4 linked regions of the Kluyveromyces lactis genome follow. The protein of the gene in region 4 interacts with the protein of the main gene of each other region in a pairwise test. Links are inferred from orthologs where the notes say so. Each region holds a gene or a part of one and is shown on either strand. Other genes may lie near its edges.

The links. The genes of interacting proteins can lie anywhere in the genome.
Region 1: the proteins of RBD2 (region 4) and ATG27 interact in a protein complementation assay, tested with the Saccharomyces cerevisiae proteins (2 studies listed by BioGRID). The link is inferred for Kluyveromyces lactis from reciprocal best matches to the Saccharomyces cerevisiae genes RBD2 and ATG27.
Region 2: the proteins of RBD2 (region 4) and TMN3 interact in a protein complementation assay, tested with the Saccharomyces cerevisiae proteins (2 studies listed by BioGRID). The link is inferred for Kluyveromyces lactis from reciprocal best matches to the Saccharomyces cerevisiae genes RBD2 and TMN3.
Region 3: the proteins of RBD2 (region 4) and ERS1 interact in a protein complementation assay, tested with the Saccharomyces cerevisiae proteins (2 studies listed by BioGRID). The link is inferred for Kluyveromyces lactis from reciprocal best matches to the Saccharomyces cerevisiae genes RBD2 and ERS1.

Annotation. Positions count from the first base shown.
Region 1 is NC_006037.1:574,520-577,126, forward strand, and holds ATG27 (Atg27p), read right to left. Parts: upstream 1,359-2,607; coding exon 501-1,358; downstream 1-500. Other genes in the region: PFD1 (prefolding complex chaperone subunit), read left to right, coding at 1-294; KLLA0_A06336g (60S ribosomal protein uL22), read left to right, coding at 2,368-2,607. UniProt on the Saccharomyces cerevisiae protein: Effector of VPS34 phosphatidylinositol 3-phosphate kinase signaling. Regulates the cytoplasm to vacuole transport (Cvt) vesicle formation.
Region 2 is NC_006041.1:1,856,926-1,860,889, reverse strand, and holds TMN3 (Tmn3p), read left to right. Parts: upstream 1-1,433; coding exon 1,434-3,464; downstream 3,465-3,964. Other genes in the region: anaphase promoting complex subunit CDC27, read right to left, coding at 1-373; U6 snRNA complex subunit LSM4, read right to left, coding at 3,952-3,964. UniProt on the Saccharomyces cerevisiae protein: With EMP70 and TMN2, plays a critical role in the late stages of a nutrient-controlled pathway notably regulating FLO11 gene expression. Acts downstream of RAS2 and TOR. Essential for cell adhesion and filamentous growth.
Region 3 is NC_006042.1:2,538,715-2,541,213, reverse strand, and holds ERS1 (cystinosin-like protein ERS1), read right to left. Parts: upstream 1,254-2,499; coding exon 501-1,253; downstream 1-500. Other genes in the region: SYG1 (Syg1p), read left to right, coding at 1-104; KLLA0_F27423g (PDK/BCKDK family protein kinase), read left to right, coding at 2,323-2,499. UniProt on the Saccharomyces cerevisiae protein: Cystine/H(+) symporter that mediates export of cystine, the oxidized dimer of cysteine, from vacuoles/endodomes.
Region 4 is NC_006040.1:1,092,869-1,095,499, forward strand, and holds RBD2 (putative rhomboid protease RBD2), read right to left. Parts: upstream 1,317-2,631; coding exon 501-1,316; downstream 1-500. Other genes in the region: MRPS17 (mitochondrial 37S ribosomal protein uS17m), read left to right, coding at 1-301; KLLA0_D12826g (uncharacterized protein), read left to right, coding at 2,050-2,631. UniProt on the Saccharomyces cerevisiae protein: Probable rhomboid-type serine protease that catalyzes intramembrane proteolysis.

The DNA.
Region 1 (2,607 bases), on a different chromosome or scaffold from region 4:
CGTAACAGCAGATCACAATTGGATATGACGCTTGCACAACTGGAACAACTACAGAGGCAAAAAAAGATTGCTAAGTTGACTGAAAAGGAATTGGGAAATTATGGAAATGAGCAAGTGTGGAGATCTTGTGGTAAGATGTTCATCCGTCAAGAGAAGCAAGCCTACACTGCTGATTTAAACCATGATGAAAGAATATTGGACGAACAGATAAAGGCATTGGAACAAAAGAGACATTACCTACAGACCACAGTCGATAACACGGTAGAGAGTTTGAGAAGAGTCATTGGAAATTAAATCAACTACTGAGTCGGCATCGACAGGGGTTTTTGTATGGGTCAAGCAATGTGGGAAGATAGTACCCTTAAAAGTCGTATTCATCATAGAATAGAGTTAAAGTATTTAGCAGTGGTAATGTTATATATAGTTGTACATTAAGAATTCTCTATTTCAGAATACATGTGGTCTTTATTCATCGCACGTCAAGGAGGAGGTACATTCGATCAAACCGCACTGTATCCGCCTCTTTGAGACGATGAACCACTATTTACGATTTTCCCTGCCACTTCTTTAGCGAATTGTGGGAGATTGGTAGCGAACGTAGTCGATCTATCAACGAACTCTTCCCGGAAATCGTTAAAGGAACCGTTTCTAGTGTTCATATACGAAGTAACCACGAGATAAATAAGGGCAAAGATAGTTGCATACATGAATAGCCATACGAGCCACGACCCAAGACCAGCTCCGCCCTTTGGTTTGGATCCATTTTTATCACCATCGTGAGGCTTCTTATCGGAGTCATCACCATCCTTATCATTGTTATCGTCGTCTCCGTTGCCATCTTTATTGTCATTTCCCTTTTTCAAACAACCAAATGGACCAGAGAACACTAGTTTCACATTTTGATCATCGGTCCAGCTGGATTCCGTTAAAGAACCCGAACCTTTCTCCTGGCATTGTAGATATATATCAGCATTCAAGATATGAGACCCCCAGGCGGCACCAGAAAGCCTTATAGACAATGCTTCCGCGGTTTCTTTCACTTCAAGGGCCACAGAACTGGTGAAATCCATCACTTTGGTGACAATTGATTCTTTCCCCGGTAATGCAACAGATGTAACGCCACAAAAAATATCCTTCACATTACATTGGTCAGGTATGGACGATTTGGAATCATGTTCATCACAAATATTCAACCACCAACTCTCTTTAGTCTCACTTGGTGGTGTATCCTGTACAGAAACACCGCCTATGGAAAACTCATTGACTCTATATTTGTTGAGGATTTCGTTTTTAGAGCACTCTACCGCTGAAGAAAATGGCAAAAGCGATACTAAAGCGGTTGCTAGTAGCACTTTCATGGCGTGTATGTATAGTTTTGCGTAGTTTCCTTTGGAATTATTCAATAAACCCGTTTTCGGTATATATAACTCCCCTGAGACAACAATAAACTCTTATTAGAGCGAAATCTTGAGAAGAGGCGACTTTTCAAAGGGCACTGTATGTACTCAGCACTTAATTATTTGCGTAGTTACCTTGCTTGGATACCTGATGTAGACAACATAGGGCTTCAAAAGTAGTTATGGTTCAAATGGAAATGTAAAGAACTCGTTGTATATTAATGCTAATCCTATCTGATAAATGTCATTAGCTTAGGGGAAATATATGTGGCCGGGTAAATATCCATCTTGTGACTGTTTAAGCCCGTGCATCCTTTTACATGCGATATTTAACACCCATAAATCTCCTTCTTTATTCTCTATAATATAAACATCCTAATTAGGTGACAAGTTTATTTTTCATTTTTCATTCGTTGAACAGCTGAGGTTGTATGCAGCTAGGCAGAAGGACGGAAATCTCAGGGCGGGCCTCTCTCTGCACAGTCCTCCCACTAACCACACCGGTCCCGGCTCCAGAGTGGTAAGTTTCAGCAACCCAGGCGGTTCCTCAACCTACCATGCTCCCCCTATCACATTCACCGGCATCAGTCTTACACTCAATGATGCGCCGGACGTTGGCCATGGGCTCACTCTAACTCCAGGTCCCTCGCTGCTCTGGCGCCTCCTCCTGCTACGGTTTGCTTGTCTCTGCCTAGTCTCCCGTTGCGGTAGGCAGAACTCCTGCCTAGCAGCAATTCCTCCACGCTGGCTCTCACCTTTCCAATTTTTCATTCCCAGACGGAAACCCGCCTGCCACACCGTGAGAATCAATTTACAGGTTTGGAAATTTGGAAATATTGTGAATAAAGAATATACGATAATATAGCATATATACATTGTTACCATATATTAAAGAGTAGTGGTTTAGACGTGTTAATTAGTGTTTTGATACAGGACCGAGAACTAAGACCTTCAAACAGAGTGATACACAATGGCTAGATACGGTGCTACTTCCACTAACCCAGCTAAGTCTGCTTCTGCTCGTGGTTCCTACTTGCGTGTTTCTTACAAGAACACCAGAGAAACTGCTCAAGCTATCAGTGGTTGGAATTTACAAAAGGCTCAAAAGTACTTGGACCAAGTTTTGGATCACCAAAGAGCTATTCCATTCAGAAGATTCAACTCTTCTATTGGTAGAACTGCCCAAGGTAAGGAATTCGGTGTCACCAAG
Region 2 (3,964 bases), on a different chromosome or scaffold from region 4:
TGTTCAAGTACAGGGATAGAGAGTAAAAGTAATTCGCAAGCGCTCTTTCCTGAGATGATTCGTCCAGATTCGAGCATTCCGCAAATAACAACTCTGAGACGAAAACGGCGGATTCTATGTTCAACTGTGATAAATGATCCGAGATTAGAGTTTCAAGTCTTTTAAATTTCTCTGAAAGATGTGAGAGATTCGATGAATCAACATAATTTGAAGCAGAGGCAGCTGCTGCTGTTGCTGCTGCATCTGCTGCGGAGGTTGCAGACGGCAGGCCGTTGAAGACTGATGCATCCATAATTTCTTGATTGTGACCACCTAAACTATCATGAGCAGGCACATTTCCACCAGCATTCTGCCGCACAGAATGGAATAGCATGGGTTGGTTAACTTAAAGAAACCAACAGCACTTCTTAAGTTCTCTCTTGATAAATTTGCAGTGCACTACATACATTGCACCTCTCCCTCATCTATGTATACAAAAACAATATGATTTCTAGATTTGAAATTTATCCTGACATAATGATAACAATAATAATTACAGTCACGTGATGTGCTTTTTTGAGCCTCAGTAGAAGTTGTTACCCGGTCATTACGCTAACATGTGTATTGTCCTCTGGCACCCATGCACCACGTATTGTATATCTCGAATTTTTGAATCGATTCTTGATCTGCTTTAAGGAAAGGCAAACGGAAAACAAAAACAGAGCTTTATGTGCAGAAAGGGTCTGGAACAAGAAGACACTGGCCAGCACAGAGGAAACTGTTTTTTTTTAGATAGTCACAGAGGATATATTGTCTCACTCAGCCTGACTAAATAAAAGAAGGCGAGAGACAGCACAAGGGCAGATTAACATATTATATAATTAATGTTTACGAATAGCTTACAGAATGTGTAGAGTGGATATTAATACAGTTACGTTAATATAGACCCCATACGTGGAGAGTAATGTACGTAGATATATATATCCATCTTATCGCTGCCGTGTACTAACTATTCAGGATAATGATTCCTTTTCCAGAAGAAAAAAAACGATTTTTCAGAATTTTTCCTTGTCGATTTTCTATTCTTCGAGATGAGCTTTTCATATTTAAAGCATATCTCAGGCAAAAAGGGAAAAGAGTAGAGGAGAAAGTTTAAATGGTAAACAAGACTTCACTCTGAGGTTTTTGATAGGATATATATATATATATATATATATATATATCTGTATTATACTACTGTCCTGGTTTTGGTTTTGTTTTGGTTTTGGTTAATAATTTTCCTGGGGTTTTTTTCTTTTGATCGAAGAACACTGGTATCCGCCCTCCGTGTTTGTGTGTGACATTAAACTATTATATTTCCTTAACACAATTATTCATACTGTTCCTCATTTATTTCTGTCTTTCGCTTTAGTTCATAAACCATTAACACACGCAGCCACCACTAAACTCTTGTTATGAAACTGAAATCAAGATCGGTTCTAGTCAGTTTACTGGTACTTTTAAGTCTAATATGGGTTCTTCCAAGGCTGAGAAATCATCGTCGGCCTTCCCCAGATGCCAACCCATTCAAATTTTCTTCGTCGTACCAGCAGCACACTGGAGTTTTCAAAGAGTACGGACTATTGAGTCCGAACTTCTATGAGTATGGTGATAAGGTCGATATCACTGTGAACAAAGTCGAATCTGACTTAACTCATTTCTCGTATGGATATTACGACTTACATTTCACTTGTCCACCGTCGCAGGACATGAAACCTTTACCCTTGACTTTCAGTGACATATTATACGGGAACAAGAAATGGCAATCGGACTATCAGCTGACGTTCGGTAAAGACGAGGATTGTGTGCGATTATGTGATAGGAAAACTAACGGTGAGGGGAAGAAACAAGCCTATGAATTAATTAAACAGAATTACGTCGTCCAATGGTTGGCCGATGATGATTTACCAGGTGCTACCACGTATCTTAACACCAAAGATAAGAAAAAATACTATTCATCGGGGTTCCCACTGGGTCAATACGATCCAGAAACTGATGAGGCCTATATTAATAACCATGTCATGATTGTAATTCGTTATCATACCATCGATCAGGGCAAAAATACCATTGTTGGGTTTGAGGTCTATCCGAAATCCGTTTCAGATCATCACTGTCCTGGCGCCTCCAAGGATTATACTCCCTATAAGATCGACCCAACTAATGAGGATATTGAGTTTATCTCCTTCACTTATGCCGTGTATTGGAGAGAAGATTTCAAAGTGGATTGGAAAAACAGATGGAATTTCTTCATTAATGGTGGAGAGTTAAAGGAATCGACTTCAAATCAATTCCATTGGATTACTTTCGCTAATGGTATAATTGTCACTTCATGTTTGCTTTTGATCGTCATAGCCATTTTGAAAAGACAGGAAACTGATGGTTCGATTACCACTCAACTAGCTGCGGAATGGTCGAAGGCTAGAGTTCCTTTATTCTTTCAGTTGAATTTGCTCGTTTCTATGGGTATTCATTTCCTTTTCACCACTCTTGGAACTTTGATTATTTCTTGTTCATTGAATCATACCCATCGTATTGGCAGCTCTGTACTCACCTGCGCAGTATTCCTATTTATCAGTGGTAGTTTTACATCATCTTTCATCGGTGCTCTACTTGAGGGGCAAATGTCTCAACATAAATTGGTCAATTCAATCATATTCGGATCAACTCTACCGGGAATTACTTTGGTTATCGTTTTGTTATTGAATTACATACTTAAGGCCAATAATGCTGCAAATACTTTACCCCATGGTACCGTTGCATTACTATTTGGTGCTTATTTCATTGTTTGCGTTCCAATATCAATCATTGGTGGGAAATGTGCCGATAGGTTTTTAAAAGTTAACTCCACAAATACTTTGCTTAATAGCTTTGCATTGGCAGAAGTGAACAAACATGACACTAGGCCTTTGTACGTTGAGAGTAAGAACTCTATTCCGTTCGTCTTAAAAAATCCTATTGCGATCACTCTCACCTTTGGACTTATTCCATTTGCTCTAATATACGTGGAGTTGTTATTTGCTTACAAATCACTTTGGCTACAAAAGACTACTCTGTATTACTTATACGGATTCCTTTTGAGTAATATTGTTATCGTTTGCATATGTATCTGCCTTCTATCCATTATTGGTTGTTACATTCATCTAAACTATGGTAATGATTCTTTGAATTTCAAATGGGACAACGTTATAGGAAGGGTTCTAGAAGCATGTCATTCATGGAGATGGAAGGCATTTCATATGGGTGGTGCAGTTGCATGGTATATGGAAGCGTACTCTATTTTGTATTTGATTTTTGTTGCCAGATACAGAGATTTCATCTCATCTTTCCTATTTGTCTGTTATAGTACGTTATTCAACATTCTCTGCTGGACAGCATTTGGATCTTTAAGTTACCTAAGCTCATTGTGGTTCATCGGTAAGCTGAATGAATATAACAAGGCTAAATAAGTTCGCCTCTTATATTTAAAGTGAGGCCAAAAAAAAAAAGTCCGGCTCTCTTCAGGAGTCTCATATTTCTCCTATATAATACTGCATATCTAGCATGGACTTTCTAAACCAAGCATTTTTGTATAGAGTAATTTAAAAAATAACAACATTTGATCTTTTCCACGGTACCCATGCTCACATACTCTTAATATATAAAGCACTGATATACTGCTTTGAACTTAAGGTTCACTAACTCTGAATCATAATTAATAGGTAGTTCTTTTAATTTCATAACCCAAATTCAGTTTTAAATCTCAAAAGTGTGAAAGGAGTAACGAGAAAAAGGTTTAGGATATCGCATCGAATGCAATCGAAACAGATGTTTTTATAGACTTTTGACCGTCCAAGCCAACAAAATAGTCTCTTTAACCGCAATAAAAGTGATTGAATATGTAACCATGTAGACACACAAATACTTAAGAATTAAATGCTGAGAAAAGAGGTTAAATCAAAATTGTGGA
Region 3 (2,499 bases), on a different chromosome or scaffold from region 4:
TTCCTTGGGCACATGCCACAGATTTCCAAAGACCTATAGAAACTGCTAGCGTCAACTCTGCTGCCATCAGCGACAGTGAATCTGAAGCAGAGAGCGAAGTTTAGAATATCTGGTTTTGTTATTCTTTCCGCTGGCTAAATGGAAATGTTGTAAATATATAATAAAAGCTACCATTTAAAGTGTTTATAACAACCCAATGTCTAATTTTACAGCTTAGCATTTCATTATACCACTCAGAGCTAGGCTTTTGGACTGTTATGAAATGAAATCCTTTGTTCTATGCCAACCCTGAAAAAATCATTTAAAGTTCACTATTATTTCCTCAGAAGTCACATTGAGTCGCTAAATATTAAAAGAAGAACAAGGTGCAAGGTTACAACTCTCTTACAACTCCAGCTTCTGAGAAATGTATGATATTTAATATTAACTTCATCCAACTACTTTAACCAAGCACTAATTTGTATGTATGGATTTCAGTTCAGCTAAGCAGTTGAAGAAATCTATGGTGATAAACTATAAACAATCCATTGAGAGACGTACACAATATTAAACAAAAGTGTGATCAATCCAATACCAATCTTCCCGAAGTTGGTGAAAAAGGACATCAGGGTCAATCCCTGCGGTTTTGAAGCTAAACGAAGAGCTAATTGACTCAATGAACATACACTCCCCAAGACGTCTATACAAGTCGATTGGATAGGAAATCCTGCCATACTCTTCCTTTGGAAGTTGTGCCTCACCTGGGGAAGATGCTTTATCAGAGACATTGTGATCTTTACAAGTGATAAATTATTGCAATAAGAGAGTAATGTTGCATTTGACAAACCAACTGTTAAAATATCTGTAAAGAAAATAATCGTTATGACCAAGACAACTAACATTATGATGGAAAACATCCTCTTGTACACCGTATGCATCTTTGGATGCGTTCTGGTAGTGTGTGAGAAATTCCATAGTCTATTCCCTAACAAAAATTGTGATAAGAGAACGAAGCACAATAAGGTACCATGCCCGCAATAAATGAGATCTGATCCGGAAATTTCTGGGGCAATCAGTGTTTCATCAGTACCTTCAGCCCAGAACAGTTTCTGCAATACCATGGATGCTAATAAGCATGAATAACCGACAGTATTTAAGACAACATAATCAAATGACACAGCATTAGCATTCCCATTTTTCCAATTGGCCCAGACCACTGGATACACTGAAACGGACCAACAAATGACATATGTTATTCCCAGCACCCTTTCCATTACTGCTCCATCTTCTGATGCTTAGTTACAGTACCGTTGAAGTTCTATCTGAAAGGATTACTTGTCTTATTCCGATGAAGAATAAATCCGTTTCTGTTTTGGCCATAACCACACAATTCTATAACTAGTAACTAATCCATTCTCATAGAATTTTGGCGTTACTTTCGATGTTTGACGTAAATAGAAAAAATACTTAAGAACGAAAAAGGTTTGTTAGGAGGAAAAACAGTAGAATTTCGATTGTTGCATCAGCATTTCCAGCAGATCAAGTTAACAGGCACCAGTGTCAATATTTTCCGAACACAAGACCTCGAAATGACATTCATTGCAGTGAACTATTCCAATTGGCAATGTACACCAAAATCTTCTGTGAAGGAATCGTTATTCACGTGACGTGATTCTTTCGCAATCTGTGAGAGAAAAGCATAGAGAAAGTTTCGTATAGGAATGAGTTTCTTAAAAGGGTTTTCAAAGCGCACAAACCTCATAACTTCCATTCATCCGTTAAGGCTACAGGTTCATTTGAAAACTTCTATCACGAACATCAGTGAAAAAAATCGATCGCTTAGGGAGCACTGCATAAAAACAACTAGGGAAAGTAGTTCATCGAATTACTAAAATTGAAAATTAACAATATGCTGAGATTGCTGTTTCTCCAGGTTTAAATTAGTTTAATTCGCTATTTATTATGATGATTTTTTTTTGTTTGTATTTTCTTTTCATCATTCGAGTACTTAAAGCTATGAATTATTTGATTTCGTATTCTTTGTTCTGCAAGCCAAAAGTTCAGACAATCTGCAGACAAGGTTACTGAGCTTACTGTGGTATATGATTGCGTCTCTTTAGTTTCATGTGCAGTGGATAAAATATTTGGATTGTTTGAATTTTCGATAAGAATCATTCAAGTTCTCTTGATTTTCACCATTGAGTAGAGGGTTTAATCACTTCACTTTCTCTCGAACAATATACTAGTTGAAATAGGTGATCTCAAATAGGCAGGAACTATTCTTTTTCATCTCTATTTATTTCTGAAATTCTTGGGTTAAAATACAGGAACCGATAAAGCAGAATGGCTGTGAAATTTCCGAGTTCTCTTTTGACCAAAATATGGCAATACTCGGAGACACCGCAAACAGCGGTGTCCTTGCGTCAAATGTGTCAATTTGGGTCTCATCCAACCCCAGGTTTAATGTTCAAGGCTTCTTGCTTTTTACTAAATGAACTGCCTGTACGGTTGGCACATAGG
Region 4 (2,631 bases):
AGATGGTACCGAGGATTCTGCCGCAGTTAAAGAGATTAAGAGCCGTTACGGAATTGATAAGTTTAGTCCGGAATCCTTGAAGCAAATATTACAGTTGGATATTCTCAAGATTGAAACCCAAGTGAAACAACAGCAGCAGAAGATCGATGCTATTACAGAAAAATTGGCAGAGTATACCAAGAACGAATCCTTGGCTAATGAATTTTTACTATCGAAAGGTTTGGAGAATCCTCAACTGTTGAAGAAGAATATCAAGAAGAACATCTTGAGAAAGCACATACTCGAGGAACTCAACGTATGAGAGAAAAAGAGGAATGACAGAAAATAATTAAAAAGGATGTTTCCCTATGTATATAGAATGAATATAATTCTCCCCGCCGCATCGAAGTAACACGCATGTAAATATAATTATCAATATTTCAAAAGTTGGGTTTGAAGAAAAAGAAGAAGAACAGCAGATGATTTAAATCTCTAGTATCTAATTTCTGAGGATTCACATTTCAATTTCCCAAGACTCTTCCGTTTCCTTGAAATGTGGGCTCCGCTGGAGTATCCGTATTATGCAAGGGCAATCTGGATTCTGACCCCAGGTAAACGGAAGTATATTCAAGTGATCTGTCCACTTCAACTTCCCTATAGTACTTAATACCGAATGGGATCAGATTGATCAATGGATCGACCCATGTTTCAATTTTCTTCAATACAAAGCTTGGTGGAGTAATCTTGGCTACCCAATTCTCTTTCAACCCCATGAAGTATCCTAATAGTAACCCAATTGCATGACCTGGTAGACTAGAACCAGGCGCCAATAGAGCAGTAACGAATAGTAATGCTACTGGGAAGTATAATGTTGGGAATGAAAAAGTACTGGTGATCATCACTGAGTTACGAACTCGGGATTCTTTCACAGCAAAGTATCCCAAGAAAGAGAAGAACCAACCACTTGCACCACCGATCTCGACATTGGGGAATAGCAAAGAACCGATTAAACAGTATGGGATTGCAGTAAATACGGCTAATAGATTCAATATGACACCAGTGTAAAGAGTTCCATGGGATTCCTCGAACATCACAATCATAGAGAAAGTCGAGATGACATTGAAGAACAAATGGAAAAATGAGAGATGAGCCAACGGGTACAACGAGATTCTGTTCAAATCAAACTTGAATAGTGAATCAGGCTTTAGCAGAAGGTGTTCATTGATAGGGTATACCAGATTGTTCACTAAGAACAATGCAGTTAAAAAGATACTGAGTCCTACTGCCAAACCGGATAAAGGTTTCCCGGCTGGAACGAAAAATTGCTTGATATTCATCAACTTAGTAATATCAGGATACCAGTATTTTCCTTGCTGATGAGGACCGGAAGATGCAGCTGTGTGGAATTCCCTGAAATGATTGAGATGAGATGAGATGAGATGAGATCTGTTGCTAAGTTTCAAGTGTCGTTGATATTTTCCATTATCAAAAGGATAAAGTGGTATAGTCACGTGACTTATGACTTCTGCCTTGTGACTGCCAAGATATAGGAACTAGGATGCTTGAGTACTAGTTTCTTAAGGAGTATTAAGTTACTAGCTAGGCTAAGCGCACGAGGATTTCTTTTTGCACTAGTCTGTCATTTTATATTCTCAACTGTGTTATAACATTCCGTTTGGGTATTTCATGATTTAATGTCCAGATCGGTTCATATTTGATAGGATTTAGAAACAGTACATAAACTATCCAAGAATCTACCCAGCAATGACAACCCAATGGCCTGAAGGCCATTTGAATTATCATATCAGTAGGTGTAATCAGGACGTAATCATTATTGCAGCTAATCGAAATCTGTTTGCCTCGATAACTGACACTTCTGAAATTTTGCCCATCGCTGCCTTTAAGTCCGAACATGCAAAGCTTTAAAAGTTGATAAGTTCCTCATCAAATACTTGCCAGTTTTACTTCTACAAGTATGATATTCCGTTGCTATTGTGTCTCAATGCACTAATTAAGAACGCTGCTATTATTGGCGTTTGAAAGTGAAGTACCTCGTATATCTCCAGCTGAATGCGTCGAGCAATGTCAAGAGTTGCAAAGAAAAGTTCAAGAGTTATGCCGCAATCACAAACTGTTCAGCGAATCTCAGGGTCCAAGGCCATCGATAATCTTTCAAAGATTCAGTTATCAGATGAGCAGGTACAATTGAAGGCCGGTGTGTTTGATTTCATCAAGAAGAAGTTGTTTAATTACGATGGAAAACCTTCAATGTACGTTATCGAAGGTGATGCAGGTACAGGGAAATCAGTAATTTTGAACGCGTTGTTCAATGATTTGCAGAAACAATCCATGCACGGGTCTGCCAATGACATTTTGAAAGGTACCCATAACTACTTGGTGGTGAACCACCCCGAAATGTTGAAATTATACCATCAGATTAGTAGATCTTTCCCATATATTAAAAAATCGTCATTGGAAAGACCCACTTCTGTAATAAACAGTTTGAACAAGACCAATTCACAATGCGACGTGATTATTGTGGATGAAGCACATTTGTTAGCTACCTCTAAGGATGCATTCAAAAAGTTCTACGGGGATAATCATTTAAAAGATTTGATGGAACTGTCTAAAGTGTTGATTGTAGTGTTTGAT